4 linked regions of the Saccharomyces cerevisiae S288C genome follow. Changing the gene in region 3 together with the main gene of any one other region gives a genetic interaction. Each region holds a gene or a part of one and is shown on either strand. Other genes may lie near its edges.

What was found.
Region 1: mutations in AIM22 (region 3) and LSC1 together harm fitness more than expected from each alone (negative genetic interaction), as found in Saccharomyces cerevisiae (3 studies listed by BioGRID).
Region 2: mutations in AIM22 (region 3) and PEX14 together harm fitness more than expected from each alone (negative genetic interaction), as found in Saccharomyces cerevisiae (2 studies listed by BioGRID).
Region 4: mutations in AIM22 (region 3) and RIM11 together harm fitness more than expected from each alone (negative genetic interaction), as found in Saccharomyces cerevisiae (3 studies listed by BioGRID).

Annotation. Positions count from the first base shown.
Region 1 is NC_001147.6:591,532-595,704, reverse strand, and holds LSC1 (succinate--CoA ligase (GDP-forming) subunit alpha), read right to left. Parts: upstream 2,649-4,173; coding exon 1,659-2,648; downstream 1-1,658. Other genes in the region: YOR142W-A (gag protein), read right to left, coding at 1-593; ARP8 (Arp8p), read left to right, coding at 3,118-4,173. UniProt on the Saccharomyces cerevisiae protein: Succinyl-CoA synthetase functions in the citric acid cycle (TCA), coupling the hydrolysis of succinyl-CoA to the synthesis of ATP and thus represents the only step of substrate-level phosphorylation in the TCA.
Region 2 is NC_001139.9:213,408-217,798, reverse strand, and holds PEX14 (Pex14p), read right to left. Parts: upstream 1,527-4,391; coding exon 501-1,526; downstream 1-500. Other genes in the region: NUT1 (Nut1p), read right to left, coding at 1-275; LYS5 (holo-[acyl-carrier-protein] synthase), read left to right, coding at 1,703-2,521; protein geranylgeranyltransferase type I subunit CDC43, read right to left, coding at 2,588-3,718; AMS1 (alpha-mannosidase), read right to left, coding at 4,132-4,391. UniProt on the Saccharomyces cerevisiae protein: Component of the PEX13-PEX14 docking complex, a translocon channel that specifically mediates the import of peroxisomal cargo proteins bound to PEX5 or PEX21 receptors.
Region 3 is NC_001142.9:350,485-354,910, forward strand, and holds AIM22 (putative lipoate--protein ligase), read left to right. Parts: upstream 1-1,901; coding exon 1,902-3,131; downstream 3,132-4,426. Other genes in the region: cullin RTT101, read right to left, coding at 1-1,624. UniProt on the Saccharomyces cerevisiae protein: Catalyzes both the ATP-dependent activation of exogenously supplied lipoate to lipoyl-AMP and the transfer of the activated lipoyl onto the lipoyl domains of lipoate-dependent enzymes.
Region 4 is NC_001145.3:543,534-548,099, reverse strand, and holds RIM11 (serine/threonine protein kinase RIM11), read right to left. Parts: upstream 1,976-4,566; coding exon 863-1,975; downstream 1-862. Other genes in the region: SIP5 (Sip5p), read right to left, coding at 1-386; Arf family GTPase CIN4, read right to left, coding at 2,370-2,945; DNA cross-link repair protein PSO2, read left to right, coding at 3,137-4,566. UniProt on the Saccharomyces cerevisiae protein: Serine/threonine protein kinase that is thought to function in regulating kinetochore activity and entry into meiosis. Could phosphorylate IME1.

The sequences.
Region 1 (4,173 bases), on a different chromosome or scaffold from region 3:
CCGAGATTCGAGTTTTGTAAAAATTTGATGTATGTTTTAACCCAATTTGGAAAGTCATTAGGTGAGGTTAACATTGGTGGTGGTCTGACATATTTTTTAGTGGATGTCATATCAGAGTCCGCTGAGGATGAATCAGTAAATGTATTACCTGACTCAGGTGATGGAGTGCTCAGAGGCGTTCCAACTGATGATGGATACTGCGGAAACTGTGATTGTGGCCCAGGTGGAAAGTACATAGGCGACATTTGATAAGGTGTATACGGAATCATAGATGGGTGTCCGTAAAATGACCAACCAGATGGATTGGCTTGGTTTTGGGTCATCATGCACTGCTGTGGGTACGGCCCATTCTGTGGAGGTGGTACTGAAGCAGGTTGAGGAGAGGCATGATGGGGGTTCTCTGGAACAGCTGATGAAGCAGGTGTTGTTGTCTGTTGAGAGTTAGCCTTAGTGGAAGCCTTATCATATTCTTGAATTTTGGAAGCTGAAACGTCTAACGGATCTTGATTTGTGTGGACTTCCTTAGAAGTAACCGAAGCACAGGCGCTACCATGAGATATATGTGGGTAATTAGATAATTGTTGGGATTCCATTGTTGATAAAGGCTATAATATTAGGTATACAGAATATACTAGAAGTTCTCCTCGAGGATATAGGAATCCTCAAAATGGAATCTATATTTCTACATACTAATATTACGATTATTCCTCATTCCGTTTTATATGTTTCATTATCCTATTACATTATCAATCCTTGCACTTCAGCTTCCTCTAACTTCGATGACAGCTTCTCATAACTTATGTCATCATCTTAACACCGTATATGATAATATATTGATAATATAACTATTAGTTGATAGACGATAGTGGATTTTTATTCCAACAAATAGTTTGATAATTTTTGGCATTCCTTTTTTTGGCAAAGGTTATATATAATATTATGTGTAGTTCTCCTCGAGGATATAGGAGTCCTCAAAAAGGAATCTATATTTCTACATAATAATACTATGATTATTTCTCCTTCTGTTCTATATGTTTTATTATCCTATTACGTTATCAATCCTTGCATTTCAGCTTCGTCTAACTTCGATGACAGTTTCTCATATCTTATGTCATCGTCTAACACCGTGTATGATAATATATTGGTAGTGTGACTACTAGTTGTTAGACGATAGTTGATTTTAATTCCAACACTTACCTATTTATCAGTGTCATTACTAAGAAGGAAATTTTTCATTAATAGTATATAACGTGCTGAGTCTTCCCAAATTGATTGAAACGCGCAAGTGGTTCAGTGGTTAGAATTTATGCTTCCCAAGCATGAGGCCCGGGTTCGATTCCCGGCTTGCGCATCTGTTTTTGCAAAACAGACTAGGAAATTCAGACGTTTTGTTATTTTTTTTTCCATTTCAATTATTAAGCTTTAATCAACCTTTATGTATACCCTTGTTAAGAAGAACATTAAATACAAACACTATTAAAAGATTTTTAGTAGAATTTATAAGGATAAATGAATATATACAAAGGGAAAAATTAACATAGAATGTTGAGTAAAAGCTCTGAAAAGAAAACGGATGTCAGCTCCATACTTGTCTAAGCAATAATCGAGACATAGAAGTCTTCCTCTTTTGAAAGCAGTTCATTCTCTTCCTAATATAATCATTTAAATTTGGCAAATTGATCCAGTAAAGCTTGACCTAAGTAACCTGGAGATTCAACGACGGCAACACCAACATCTCTCAAAGCTTGTTTTTTGGATTCTGCATCAGTTCCAGATCCTTCTACAATTGCACCGGAGTGACCCATTCTAACACCTTTCATTTGACCAGCAACAGTTCCTGCGATGAAAGATGCCACCGGCATCGGCTTACTCCTGCTAAAGTTGTATTCTTTGAGAAATTGAGCAGCTTCGATTTCGGCCTTACCACCTATTTCACCTAACATAATAATACCTTCTGTAGTTTCATCTTCTAGAAATAATTTCAAGGCGTCAATAAAATCAGTACCGGGAAAAGCATCACCACCCATACCAATAACCAGTGATTGACCAAGGTCAGTTTTTGTAGTTTGCTGAACAGCTTCGTATGTCAAAGTTCCCGATCTGGAAATAATACCGATTTTACCAGCTTGAAAAATTTTTGGGGGCTGGATACCAATTCTTACCTTTGTTGCTGGGTTAATGATACCAGGGCAGTTGGGCCCAACTAATCTTGTTTTATCTTGTGTCTGCAACATTTCTGCAATGTATAACATGTCATGTTGAGGAATACCTTCAGTGATACATACAGCTAACGGAATTTCAGCTTCAATAGATTCTTTAATGGCAGCAGCTGCGATCGGTGGAGGAACAAAGATGGCACTGGCAGTGGCTCCAGTCTCCTTAATCGCGTCCTTCACAGAGGCAAAGACAGGTTGGCCTAAATGTGTTTGACCCGCCTTTTTTGGGTTCGTACCACCCACAACATTTGTACCATATTCTTGAGAGATGCTGGCATGAAAAGTACCTTGTTTACCTGTGAACCCCTGAAAGATCACCTTGGTGTCCTTGGGAAGCAGCAAATTTTTGATCGTCTTATCGTAAGGAATAGATTCTCTGTGAAAGTGACGACAAATTTTGAGAGAAGCTTTTGAAACGGTAGATCTTAACATTATCAAACTGAAGAATAAATGGTCTGCAAAAGAAATTTTCTATGAAATCGAACGTATATAGAGTGGTAAGTAACAAACAGAACAACAATTAGGGGAAACTTGTCTCCTTCCAGCTTTTATATCGCTTGATTAAATCCAACTGTGGTAAGCCTATATATACGCAGTGTGCTGTGAACAACTCTCGAACAAGGATACTTAATTGACAATTGCAAAGCACTTAAGGGCTCTATTACCATCTGGATATCAGTCTCGAGAAACGCCTTTTTTGTTTCTGTTTTTATAGCAGCAACTTTGGGTCCGAGGTTGGGGTAGATCCGTTATCCAGCCGCTGGTTGGGCCGTGCAAGATGACTTATTTGAGAATGGCAATATGAATAAATGGAGATGATGAACGCCCACGAAGTAGCAAACACTTTCAGGTAAATTACTAGTCAATAGTACATAAATACAGGGATACAATCGCACCTAACATGTCGCAAGAAGAAGCAGAATCCAGTATTATTTATGAGGAACCCATTGATATTCCGTTAGAGGATGATGACGATGAGGATGAACTGGAAGAAGAAAATAGCGTACCTTTAAGCAGCCAGGCGGATCAAGAAAATGCGGAGAATGAGTCAGACGATAGTGTCGATAACGTAGTTGGATCTGAGACACCCAGAAGTGTAACAGGTCTTTCTGTTGACCCAAGAGACGTTGCAGACGAAGAAGATGAAGATGAAGAAGGGGAAGACGAAGATGAAGACGAAGACGACAATGATGTTGACAATGAGGACGAAAATGATAATGATAATGCCAACGAAAATGAAAATGAATTAGGGAGCTCTAGAGATAAGAGGGCACCACCTGCTGTGCAGACTAGTAAACGTTATAAGAAATATCCGAAGCTAGATCCCGCAAAAGCACCTCCCGGGAAGAAAGTCCCGCTACATCTTTTGGAGAAGAGGAGACTAGGACGTATTAAAGCTGCTGAAGAATTTGCCAAGACGTTGAAAAAAATTGGCATTGAGAAAGTGGAGACAACTACTTTACCTGCCACTGGCCTGTTCCAACCTTTAATGTTAATCAACCAAAAAAACTACTCATCAGATTATCTGAAAAAAGACGATCAAATATTTGCACTTAGAGATAGAAAATTTTTGAGAAATAACAACACTAGCCAAATATCTAGTACCAACACACCAGATGTTATAGATTTAAAGAGTTTGCCCCACTCAGAAGCGAGTGCAGCACCACTTAATGACGAGATAGATCTAAATGATCCAACAGCAACTATCGTGATACATCCTGGATCAAATTCTATAAAGATAGGATTTCCCAAAGATGACCATCCTGTCGTAGTTCCAAATTGTGTAGCGGTACCTAAAAAATGGCTGGATCTTGAAAATAGTGAACATGTTGAAAACGTTTGCCTTCAAAGAGAACAGTCAGAAGAGTTTAACAACATAAAGTCGGAGATGGAAAAGAATTTTAGAGAACGTATGAGGTATTATAAAAGAAAGGTACCAGGTAATGCTCACGAACAG
Region 2 (4,391 bases), on a different chromosome or scaffold from region 3:
ATTTTAACAAAATCGGAGCAAACAATATCTAGAGCCTCGTGTAAGTGTGTAGTATCTGCAGTAGCAGCCGTGTTGTTGCTGGGTGTATCCACCAAATCGGACGCTTTCTTGACCTCATTTATATTTGCAGTTGTTGTTGTATCTTCTTCTTCCTCTTGAATCAAAGACGGGAACTTTTCATTAAAGAATTCCTTGTAAAGGTTCGAAAATTCCATGGAGGTCAATTGCCGCTCAGCACATTTTAGTGCTAAGTTGTATACTGATTCTTTTTCCATGGCAATTCAAGGTCATATACTAGCCACGAATAGCTTTGTTGAGGTGGTTTAGCTTACTCATATTTGTAGATTACTGTTTCAATTAGCTGCCAATATATTAGTGCTACTAAAAATGCCTTTCAAAAGCAAATGTTCCGGGTAACAATCAGATTGAATGTCCATAGTATCTAGGACAGTTACAATTACAATTTCCGTTAAAAAACTAATTACTTACATAGAATTGCGCTATGGGATGGAGTCTTCGACCTGTCCATTTTGCCAGTCAGGGACACTGATCTCATTGGCGGCGGTATTTTTTTGCCATTCTGGAATGGAGGCGTTGCTATCAATAGTTTGTTCTCTTGCTTTTTTCCACGCTGGAACAGCATTGTCATCTTTATTAGCATCGCTGCCGTTTTCCTTTTCTTTATCACTTTCTTCTTGCATGCCCATTTTGGCAAGAATCTCAGACGCAGATGGAATCGTATCTATGCCAGGTATACCATTAGGAGATATGGAAAATAATCTGTTGTCCTGCGCATTACCGGATTCCATACGGTTATTCATTAAGCTTTTCAGAGATTCCATTTCTTTTTGGATATTATTTAACTCTTGCATGCCGTCATTATCTGAAACAAATTTGTCGATCGTATTTTGCATATTGACCACCTCGAGTTTAACTATTCTAAACTCGTCTTCGATCTTTTCCCTGCTTCTTGTTGTCTGCACAAGCGCCTGTTTCAGTTCAGCAATCGTGTCACTAAGTTCCTTTAATGTTTCGCTTTCCTTTTTCCTAAACTCAGCTTGCTCCGCTTCGATGGCATTGAGGACTGTATCGATTTTGGAGAACTGATCATCAATTTCTTTTTTGTCCCCTTCCAACTTGCTTTTTGCTTCTGGTAAAATATTTGGTATCACATACCTTCTAGTTACTTCATATGCACCATACAACAGCCCAGCTGTGGCAGTAGCCATCACAAAATAGTCCTTCCAATCCCTGTGGGGCAGCGTTGGTGGCATCGCTTCATAGAGATACATATCCTGTGAGGCTCTATTCTCAGTACTACCAATTTTTTTCGATACTTCATCGCCTACGATACCGTCTTTCTTGGGCTCTTTCATGGCTATTTCAATCTCCTTTTCTGTTAACCCTTTGGATTTTAAAAATTCGATTTTCTTTAAAAGTGGAGCATCTTTAATGGACTCATCCTTTAAAAAGGATACTGCTGAGTCGAACAATGCCTTACGATCTTTACTGACCACGTCACTCATTCCTTATTCACCTTACAACTTCTCTGTTTTACTTGAGTTTTCAAATTGATGGGCAATTTCTTATATTTTTAAGCATTGAATATATGTTTTACAATTATCTTTCGGGCGCTTATTAAAACCGCTATGACTAAAATGAGAATGAGGAGAAAGAGAATCACTCAGCAAAAAAACCGTGGATGGTTAAAACGACTGAAGTAGTAAGCGAAGTTTCAAAGGTGGCAGGTGTAAGACCATGGGCAGGTATATTCGTTGTTGAAATTCAAGAGGATATACTCGCGGATGAGTTTACGTTCGAGGCATTAATGAGAACTTTGCCATTGGCGTCTCAAGCCAGAATCCTCAATAAAAAATCGTTTCACGATAGATGTTCAAATCTATGCAGCCAGCTGCTGCAGTTGTTTGGCTGCTCTATAGTAACGGGCTTAAATTTTCAAGAGCTGAAATTTGACAAGGGCAGCTTCGGTAAGCCATTCTTAGACAACAATCGTTTTCTTCCATTTAGCATGACCATCGGTGAACAATATGTAGCTATGTTCCTCGTAAAATGTGTAAGTACAGATGAATACCAGGATGTCGGAATTGATATCGCTTCTCCGTGCAATTATGGCGGGAGGGAAGAGTTGGAGCTATTTAAAGAAGTTTTTAGTGAAAGAGAATTTAACGGTTTACTGAAAGCGTCTGATCCATGCACAATATTTACTTACTTATGGTCCTTGAAGGAGTCGTATACAAAATTTACTGGAACTGGCCTTAACACAGACTTGTCACTAATAGATTTTGGCGCTATCAGCTTTTTTCCGGCTGAGGGAGCTTCTATGTGCATAACTCTGGATGAAGTTCCATTGATTTTCCATTCTCAATGGTTCAATAACGAAATTGTCACTATCTGTATGCCAAAGTCCATCAGTGATAAAATCAACACGAACAGACCAAAATTATATAATATCAGCTTATCTACGTTGATTGATTATTTCATCGAAAATGATGGTTTATAATGCCAATTTTTTTTTTTCGCTTGCTCACATTTATGTAATCGATAGACTCTTATTACTGTTTGAACTTCAAAAACAGCACCTTTTACTAAAATCATTAAATATTTCTTGAGGTATGCATAATTCTCCATTAAATTTCCCCTCAATTAATGCTAACGCAGCGCTCCCTAGACAGCTGTGATATAAATCAGCATCTTCTTCGTCATTTTTACTAAAGCCTCCAGTTAATGTTTTTTGCGTTCGATCAAGCAAATAATTTGTGACTAGTTCAGTTTGGCATAGCATTTTCCAATCCTTTGTTAGTAAGTGTAGTGAATTTAAGCACCAAAATGCGTAACACGTATCAGCGAACTTGTTCTCCCTTCCCTGGAAACCGCCATCATCAGATTGATCATAGCTGGCATTCAATTCGCTTTCAAATTTCATACATCCATGGCTTGATACTTGCCTATGTAATAGCCAGGTTATGGTGTCTTCTTTAAACTTGTCTGATAGCTTTTCCAAACTAGAGAGTAAAGCTAAGGTAGACAGCGCACAAGATGTGTACCCTGAGTGTGGTTCATTGTGGGCACCGAAAGCTCCGTTGTAGCATTGTTGCGACATTATATAGCCAAGCAACTTCTCAGTATCAATGTATTCATCAAAGTCTTCTTTGGATCGGCATCCGCATATGTACAGAATGGCAACTGCGATGTAGCAAAACCTTAAATCGTCTGAATCAACCGAAGATCCACAATTTGTCTTATAGTCTAAACAAGATACAAACGAGCCACGGTCAGGTCGTTGGCACTTAGAAACAAATCTCGCCAGGCTTCTTTTGTCTAGTATAGTCTCAAAATACTCGTAATCTCTCAGCATAATCATGGACAACAATGCAAAGAGAGTATTTGGTAGATTAATCGTTGTTGCGTGAGGGATATTCATGACTAAGCTTCCAACAAATCCAGATATCACAGTATTTTCTGTATCATCCAGCACTGTTTTGATATAATGTTTGCGCATCCAGCCAAGATGATCGCCGTACTTCGCAGAAACGTTAACATCAAATATAGAGAGTCCTGAGATTGAGTAGAATATTATCGCCATTCTGTTCACGTCATGTCCCTGATGTGAAGAGGGAAGCAACTGTAGATGTCTTTCGAAAAATTTCCTATGCTTTTTAGTCACAACTCTACTCGGGCCATTGGTAGCTTGACACATTTTTCCACGATATAGCGGTGGGCAGAAGTGCTTGAAAGTACTTGTTCACGTTGGATAAATAAAGGTTTTCTTAAAATTGAAATTTAAATTGCTAGAGATGACTTGGGGGTTAGTGACCAAGTAATAGTTTTGAACTGGCGGGTGTTTTGATTGTATACTATAGTCACTGAAACTATTGCTTTTCCATTCTTCCAAGGCGCAACAACTCAGAAAAAAAAAAACAAGTGAATAAAACAGGTAAAAAAGAAGATCATTTAAAGGTTTTACAAGTGTGATATAAATTTTATTTTTTTGCTTTTTTATTTAGCATTATTTACTTATATGTATTTTGTTAAGACTATTTTTGGTTATCATGATAGAAATGGCATAAGTTTGGGAGTGAGTGAATGTAAAAAACAGTGAGGGAGACAAACTCAGAAATACAACCTGAATGAGGCAATCTCAAAAGGTCTCAATTTAATGGGAATTCTGTTTATTGCATGATTTGATTCGTCTCGCGTTGCTGTCAAACTCTTATAAACTTTCATCTCCAAGTTATCGACCTTCTCAATACGCTTCAAATTTAGTGTGGTATTTAGTGAAGCAAAAGATTCCCCGCCAAGAGATTCGTAAACCCTTACCACAATACTTTGTTCATCCCTTGGATTTAATGAATAGTTGGACTTGACAGCAC
Region 3 (4,426 bases):
GTTGATATTGATCTCGGTATCGCATTTCATCCTCTTGTGAGACATTTGTTATGATTCTTTGTTTGAAAAGTTCCATGAGGCTGTCTTTGTAAACAGGTAATATATCCTTAATAAATGAGGAATTTTGATCACTTTGTAAGATCGTCTTTCTGAAAATTGATCTTTCGAAAAAATTAGGAAATGTGGGAAGGTTAACGAACTTCAGTCTCAATATAGGAAGATTTTCGTTGAGATACTTTATTTTCATATCTCTGGGTAGGTCTTTTTTAGTTGTTTTTATCTTTCTGACGATGATGAATAAATGTGACTCAAAATATTTGACATACTGTTCTATGGCTTTGCTGGTACTTCCAAGTAAATTACATAAATGGTACTCGATGGAATCGGAGTATATTTTGAGGTGATCTACATTAGCTAGCTGAACTACCTCATCAAATAGCCTTTCAGTATCATGATTGGATCCATATGCTGCCTTTAACTTTTCTGAAACGGCATCATCACAGAATTCCTTGAATTTTGACAGCATATTTTTTGCTTCAAAAGCATTTCTAAACATCAATAAGCTAAAGTGTGTCTCAGTTTTGAAATATCTCTCTTTTTCTTCATCATAAGTGTCCTTCCCAATTTCTATGTATTCGCTAATAGACTTCTTGTTCAACAGTAGATGGCTTATAAATAGGTCATTTGCATCGCTGACCCATTCAGGGGAAAATAAAGATGCTAATAATGCATTCCTCGTCAATAGTACCTTAAAATTCTTGAAAGTTTCCAGCCTCGGCCTTAAATTTGATTCCTCACAGTAATATTGTCTGAGAGTTTTCATATAAAAATCTTTGGGGCTCAAGCCCTCTATACTAAAATTGCAGTTAGACATTATACGGAGCATAGGAACTTCCTTCTCTAACATTGTATTCGTTATTGGAAACATATGAATATAGTGATGAATAGTAGCGCTTACAAGGGTGGAAAATTCCCTTCCAAAATGTGACTTCATACATTCGAAAAGTTTGGAATCATAATACTGAAATATCGTTAAGGTCTCAAATCCTAGTTCTTTTCTTATCATGGGATAATTTACCGGCACATACGATATAATAGGACCAACGGCACCCATTACGTACTGAAATAGCTTGTAAAAAGAGGTCCAATTTTTGGGTATAATTTCATAAGAATAGTCGCATCTGGTCAAAAAGCTAAGGACGTGCGCGTCAATTATTAACTTTGCCAATTCATCACAAAATTCTTGAAAACTCAGCACAATTTGGTGTTGATGTAGCAGCTGAAACTTCTTTTGCTTTTCGTCATTCCCATTAAATTCTGAGTTGTAAGGAATGTATGATTTCCTTTGCGTTAATTCACGGCAATTGTTCAACATCTTAGGCATTAGCTTTCTAAATTTAGCGGCCTTTTCTTTATTACACTCCAATTCTTTCACGTCAGTTTCAGTTATAGTTTCAGCTAAAGTAAGGTGAAAAAACTCGTGCAGCTCAGCAATCATCGTTCGATACCTGGGATTTCGCTCATCGTTAAATTTATTGTATAGTCCTAAAGCGTTGCTTGCACTCGTCTCTCTGCTTATAGACTCGTGGAATCCTTCTCTCTTGGAAACGCTCTCATTTATCATTGTTCCTGTGAACCCGTACGAGAATTTATACCAGTAAAAAAGATTGGTGGGTTTAATATCTTGAGGATTCCTTCAAAGTAGTCTTTTAGTGCAAAGATATCGATGATCTTCATTCGCATTGTTCATATTCATCATTACGCAAAGGATAGCTATGCGTTCCGCTTCGTCATACTTAATCAGGAATATTGAACATCCAAAAATCTCCGAGCTCACGTATGTAGAATTTTTGATGAATACAAAAGAAGAAAACACTAGACTTTTCTTTGATGTTTACATTATGTCTATGATGCTAAGTAATTGGGCACTCTCCCCTCGATATGTGGGACAGCGAAACCTCATACATTGCACCACTTTATTTCACACACTTACACGATGGGCAAAAGACGCAGACGATAAATATCATGATATAAACTCAATGTATGAAAACATGTTTACACCTTCAAATGATAACGTTTCAATTTTGCAGGATGAAGGTAAATCTGATTATGATACGACGAAGGCCAGCTCTATGGAAGAAGATATCAGTGCTTTTAATAAAGACTTGTACAATTTCTATAATATTGGATATGCCAAACAGATCATGTCTGCTTCACAATTGGAAAATATAGTAAAGGCAAAGGGCAGATTTGTTATACAAAGTTTATCCACCAGTCCTTATTATAATTTGGCCCTTGAAAACTATGTTTTCAAGAATACACCAAGAGCCAAAAGAGGTCCCGATAATTGCAGACTGTTATTTTACATCAATGATAGGTGCGCCGTTATAGGCAAAAACCAAAATCTGTGGCAGGAAGTAGATCTTGCTAAGCTGAAGAGTAAGAATTTCGAACTACTTAGAAGATTTTCTGGAGGTGGCACTGTACTGCATGATTTGGGCAATGTTAATTATTCATATTTAACATCAAGGGAGAAATTCGAAACAAAGTTTTTCAACAAAATGATAATTAAGTGGTTAAATTCATTGAATCCCGAACTAAGACTAGATTTGAATGAGAGAGGAGATATTATTCAGGACGGGTTTAAAATTAGTGGCAGTGCTTATAAAATTGCCGGTGGCAAAGCATACCATCATGCAACGATGTTGCTTAATGCGGATTTAGAACAGTTTAGCGGCTTATTAGAACCCTCACTACCGAACAATATGGAATGGGAGTCAAGTGGAGTTCATAGTGTAAAATCAAAAATCAAAAATGTTGGTATAATTACTCCTAATCAGTTCATTGCAGTGGTATCCGAGCGTTTTCAGAAAACATTCAAAGTTGACGGCGAAATACCTATATATTACTGTGACGAGTTTAAATCTATAAACGATGAGATTAAAGATGCTATGAACACCTTACAGAGCGAACAATGGAAATATTTCTCGGGGCCTAAATTTTCAGTGAAGATTAAAGATAAAGGCTTAACAATTAAAGTCGAAAAGGGCATGATTTATGATTGTGATAGAAATGATTTAATCGGCTTGGAATTCAAAGGATTTTTGGAGAATATTGACAGTTACACATAACGTTGATGAATATTTCAATTCACTTGTAAATAACGTAGGTAAATATCAAAATTAAAGTCTTTCACCGGAAACTGATTCAGCATATTTCAGCAGACGCGTCCTAGATTCACAGCAAACTTCAATATAAGCGATACATTAGGAGTGTTCGTACTTTAGATCTATAAGAACTATATTTTGTTACGATTCAGCCGTCTCTAAATGTGAACTAAATATTTATACTGTTATTTGAGAAACCGACAGATAGTACTTAATTTTATCGATCATCTAAGAATAGCATCGGTATTGTGGTGACATTTATTGAATTTCTTCCGCTCCAGAATAAAGTTCCTTTTCACTTCAAAAAACTGCCACCAGTAAAGTTGCACCAGTGGTTTTTGAGCATTTTTTGTCAATGTCGCTTAACCGTTCTTGAACTGTATCCTCTTGACGTCGATAAAATCATTTGTAAAAACCAGGCCAAATCATCATTGAATAATTTACACTGTGTCTTCAATGTCGCCATTTGGACCAATAATTATCAAACTGTTCACAATTCACTCAAAGTCCTTTCAGCAACATTCTTATGAAACAATACTTTCTTTGAATTTGTATGATGAAACAAAATTTTTTGGTTATTAATCATTTATCACTCTCGGTAGCCAAGTTGGTTTAAGGCGCAAGACTGTAATTTACCACTACGAAATCTTGAGATCGGGCGTTCGACTCGCCCCCGGGAGATTTTTTTAATGTGCTCTAAATAGAATGTGGATGAAATTTCTCTTGGCCGCCGTACCCTTCTTCATAATTAATAATTTCTTTCCATTTTGCAGGATTATATCTGATCAATAAGTGATTGTAAAGATTTTGTTTGTGAGAAATATGTGAATTTTTAATTTTGGTTATAACTTAATAATTGTTGGAATTCCATTTTTGATAAAGATGAAAATTGGTGAATTTTGAGATAATTGTTGGGATTCCATTGTTGATAAAGGCTATAATATTAGGTATACAGAATATACTAGAAGTTCTCCTCGAGGATCTAGGAATCCTCATAATGGAACCTATATTTCTATATACTAATATTCCGTTTTATTCCTTATTCCGTTTTATATGTTTCATTATCCTATTACATTATCAATCCTTGCACTTCAGCTTCCTCTAACTTCGATGACAGCTTCTCATAACTTATGCCATCATCTTAGCACCATATATGATAATATATTGGTAGTATGACTACTAGTTGATAGACTGAAGAGAATGTGGATTTTGATGTAATTGTTGGGATTCCATTTTTAATAAGGCAATAATATTAGGTA
Region 4 (4,566 bases), on a different chromosome or scaffold from region 3:
TTGATTATTAAATTTTTAACGACAGTAGCATCATAGTCCAACTTTTCAAAAGAATAACAGCCAAATGGGGCCAAAAACCCCCCATCTACAGTTTCGCTACACCTCACAACCAATTGTTTAGCATGTGCCTCTTTAGCAAGCTCTTTTTCCCGTGACGTCTTTCTTCTACTAGTGCTGGATAGATGAGAACCAGTTTTTGTACGAGCATTATTCCCATTTAAAATATTATTGACCAAAGACGTCGTGCGTCTCGTTCTCACCCTTGAAGAGGCTTCTTCATCATATTGTTTGATGACAGAATTCGATGATGTAGTATTATATGAGGAATCTGGCCTGACATCATTAAAACTATCTTCCTGGTCTATTTTCCCTGGAACATTACCCATGGTTTGTTTGCTACTCTGGGTTCGGTTTATACTAGCTAGATTATTTGGTTCTAAGGTGCTTCTTCGTTTACTAAAACACCCACTACATCAGCTCGATGATGAACCTTCACTTGCCCCTTTATACTCTAAAAACCTTGTCGACCCATTTAAGGAAGTTGTTACCCGGTTAAAGTAAAGGTGTCATTAAAATAGTTTCGTACTGGCAAAGAATACGGCTTTTATACATAATTCGAAGTGAAATGGCATAAAAAAGTTACAATTTATTTTGGCTTTACCTTATTTTTTTCATAATTTGTATTCATTATAACAGTAATGATAACATAATACTGTTACTACTAATAATGATAAGAATATGATGGTAATACAAAAACAATACTCATAATAATAACAGTAATAATAGTACTAAAAAAAGACATACGTATATATGTTCCTTCCTTCTCCCATTATTCTTGCCTGGGCTCCCTCCGGTGCTATCATTACTTAGACTTCGGATATAGCTTTTTTTTTACAGATGATAGTTCATCGGGAGATAGATGGCCCAATTCGACATTTTCATCGAACTCTAGCAATTTTAAATCAGTTGTTATTTGATTTATTTTACCGTCATCAAGTTTTAGTTCATCAAAATATGGACTACACAGGCATTGTAGAGCATTAAATCTTTCTAGTGGATCATATTTCAAAACGTCAGCTAGAAATTCCACAGTTTGATCATCTTCTTTCTTGAAAACACGTGACAATGGTATTGGTTTAATTTGCGGGAACTTATGCTCCATATAATTGGGATTCATAGAGCAAATTTCTTGCTTTGATGGAGTACCTAAGATTTTAATGATTTCCACTAGTTGATCAATACCACTTTCTCCAGGGAACATTGGTTGGCCCAATAGCAGTTCCGCCATTACGCAGCCAGAGGACCATATGTCGATTTGGTTGGTATAATTTGTTGCGCCGAAGATTAGCTCTGGTGCTCTATAGTACCGTGAACAAATATAGGAAACGTTAGGTTCAGTAGGTTTCAATTGCTTTGCACTGCCGAAATCGCACAGTTTTAAGGACCAGGTCTCAGGATCTACTAATAAATTTTGAGGCTTAATGTCTCTATGACAGACGTTCGCGAAATGATGGAGGTAATTCAATGACTTGAACAATTGAAACATGTAGTACTTTATTTCCAATCTTGACATCGGCGTACGTTGATGGACGAAATGACGTAACCTCTGGTACAAAGATTGTGGCATGTATTCTAGTATCAAATTTAAATAAATCTCATCTTGGGAGTCCCTTTCATAGAAAAAGTACTTCAGATCTATTATATTTATGTGACTCAGCATTTTCATTATTTCCAGCTCTCTGTTCTTGAATCGTTTATCTTGCAGGACTTTCTTAATAGCAACTTTTTCATTAGTTTCTTGAATAACAGTGGCAAATACCACACCAAACGAACCATGCCCAACTACTTCGGTGGTAGGGAAAGATATCTGCACCGGATCATTCGGGTCTATCGTAGGTGGAGGATGGGCGTAGTAAACCTGTTTTGACACTATGTTATTACTGAGATTCGGAGAATTATTGCTTTGAATATTCATCCTGCGCGAGTTCTAGCGTTGCGTGATTAGTGTTGCCGTGTTGTAATGTAATGCTATGTCAAGATCTTGCCCAGTAATGTGTGAATCAGACGTCGGTGGTTGGCTATTCTGGAAAAAAAGGTGTTAAAATGCAATGCGCCAGAAAGAAAAGGAAATAAGACAATGGCAACGACCGATTGGAAATAATCTGCTGGTCTTCCTACCACTCCTTCTTGTGTAAGATCTTCAATGGACCCGTGCTTTGTAACCCGCAAGCCTTACAGAACCCCTTGGTAGTATTATTATCCGGAGTGAGCAGAAGCCACGAATGCGCACAGTCGGCGGGTAATGAACTATCACGCTATAAATACTGACATTATTTAAAGTTTTTATATGGTGCTCACATCTTAGACGATTATTGGGTAAAATGGCAGGATTCCACCAGACGGTCACGCAGGTTATCAATACCTTCTCCGGTAACGCCACTACATTTGACGAGCTCTATTCGGATGTCCGGCTTGAACAGACACTTCAACTCGCTCTCTACCAGTAAACACCTTCGATGAAGCTCGGACTTGTCCTCCACTAAATCAATCTTGTTCAACACAACGATAACAGCACACTCGTATCCTATTCGATTTTCGTCTCTATTGATTAATTCTTTTAGTTCTTGCAAGGTTTCGTCAAACCGCATTGAAAGGCTCACATCTATACACCATATCATCGCTTGTGTCTTATCAAAATAGTTATCCCAAAATGGCCTTAATGTGCGTTGCCCCCCAATGTCCCATAGAGATATTGTCACATCTTTTATCATCAGACTATGTATTTGAAAACCCACAGTAGGCATTATACCATCGTTATTTTGCTCATCCTTGGGCAATAGTTTGTTTACTATCGTTGACTTCCCCGAATTGTCTAGTCCTAGAATCAGACAGCGAATTTCTTTGTCCCTGAGCTTCTGTTTCCTGATAATACTTAGTAGTCCCATGTATTCTTCTACACCTTAAGCTTCCCTCTTATTATCTTTATAAATTAGTGCGATGGCTTTTTAGATTTTGTCATGGAAACGGACTGAAAAAGTACTAGTAAAATAGCAATATAAACATAATCAAATACCTGCGTCAAAACTCATGTTAAGCAGCATACGCACTAGTGACTAATTTGGGTGGTCGGTTGATTATGTCAAGGAAATCTATAGTGCAAATAAGAAGATCTGAAGTAAAGCGGAAACGAAGTAGCACCGCTAGCAGTACAAGTGAGGGGAAAACTCTTCATAAGAACACACATACATCCTCTAAAAGGCAGAGAACTTTGACAGAATTCAACATCCCAACTTCATCGAACTTACCTGTCCGTTCCAGTTCATATTCATTCTCAAGGTTCAGTTGTTCAACATCCAATAAGAATACAGAGCCAGTAATTATTAACGATGACGATCACAATAGCATTTGCCTTGAAGACACTGCAAAGGTCGAAATCACCATAGACACAGACGAGGAAGAACTAGTTAGCTTGCATGATAACGAAGTCAGCGCAATAGAAAATAGGACCGAAGATCGAATAGTAACGGAATTGGAGGAGCAAGTAAATGTTAAAGTCTCTACAGAAGTTATTCAATGTCCTATTTGTCTAGAAAACCTTTCTCATTTAGAATTGTACGAAAGAGAGACACACTGTGATACTTGCATAGGCAGTGACCCGAGCAATATGGGAACACCTAAAAAGAATATCAGGAGCTTTATTTCTAATCCATCATCTCCTGCAAAAACGAAGAGGGATATAGCTACGTCAAAAAAACCAACAAGAGTAAAACTTGTTTTACCAAGTTTCAAGATAATTAAGTTCAATAATGGCCACGAAATAGTTGTGGATGGTTTCAATTATAAGGCCAGCGAGACTATCTCTCAGTACTTTCTTTCTCATTTTCATTCTGATCACTATATTGGACTCAAAAAATCTTGGAACAATCCTGATGAGAATCCGATCAAGAAAACACTTTACTGTTCTAAGATCACTGCAATATTAGTAAATTTAAAATTCAAAATTCCAATGGATGAAATCCAAATTTTACCCATGAATAAACGCTTTTGGATAACAGATACCATTTCAGTAGTTACGTTGGACGCTAACCATTGTCCCGGTGCAATAATAATGCTTTTCCAGGAGTTTCTGGCAAATTCGTATGATAAGCCTATAAGACAAATTCTTCACACGGGGGATTTTCGAAGCAACGCCAAAATGATTGAGACAATTCAGAAGTGGTTGGCCGAGACAGCGAATGAAACTATTGACCAAGTTTATTTAGATACAACATATATGACTATGGGATACAACTTTCCTTCACAACATTCTGTGTGCGAGACTGTGGCTGATTTTACATTACGGCTTATAAAACATGGTAAAAACAAAACATTTGGAGATTCACAAAGGAACCTTTTTCACTTTCAGAGAAAGAAAACATTGACAACTCATCGTTACAGGGTCCTATTTCTTGTGGGAACATATACTATTGGAAAAGAGAAGCTAGCCATCAAGATATGTGAATTTTTGAAAACAAAATTATTTGTTATGCCGAATTCCGTTAAATTTTCAATGATGCTAACAGTTTT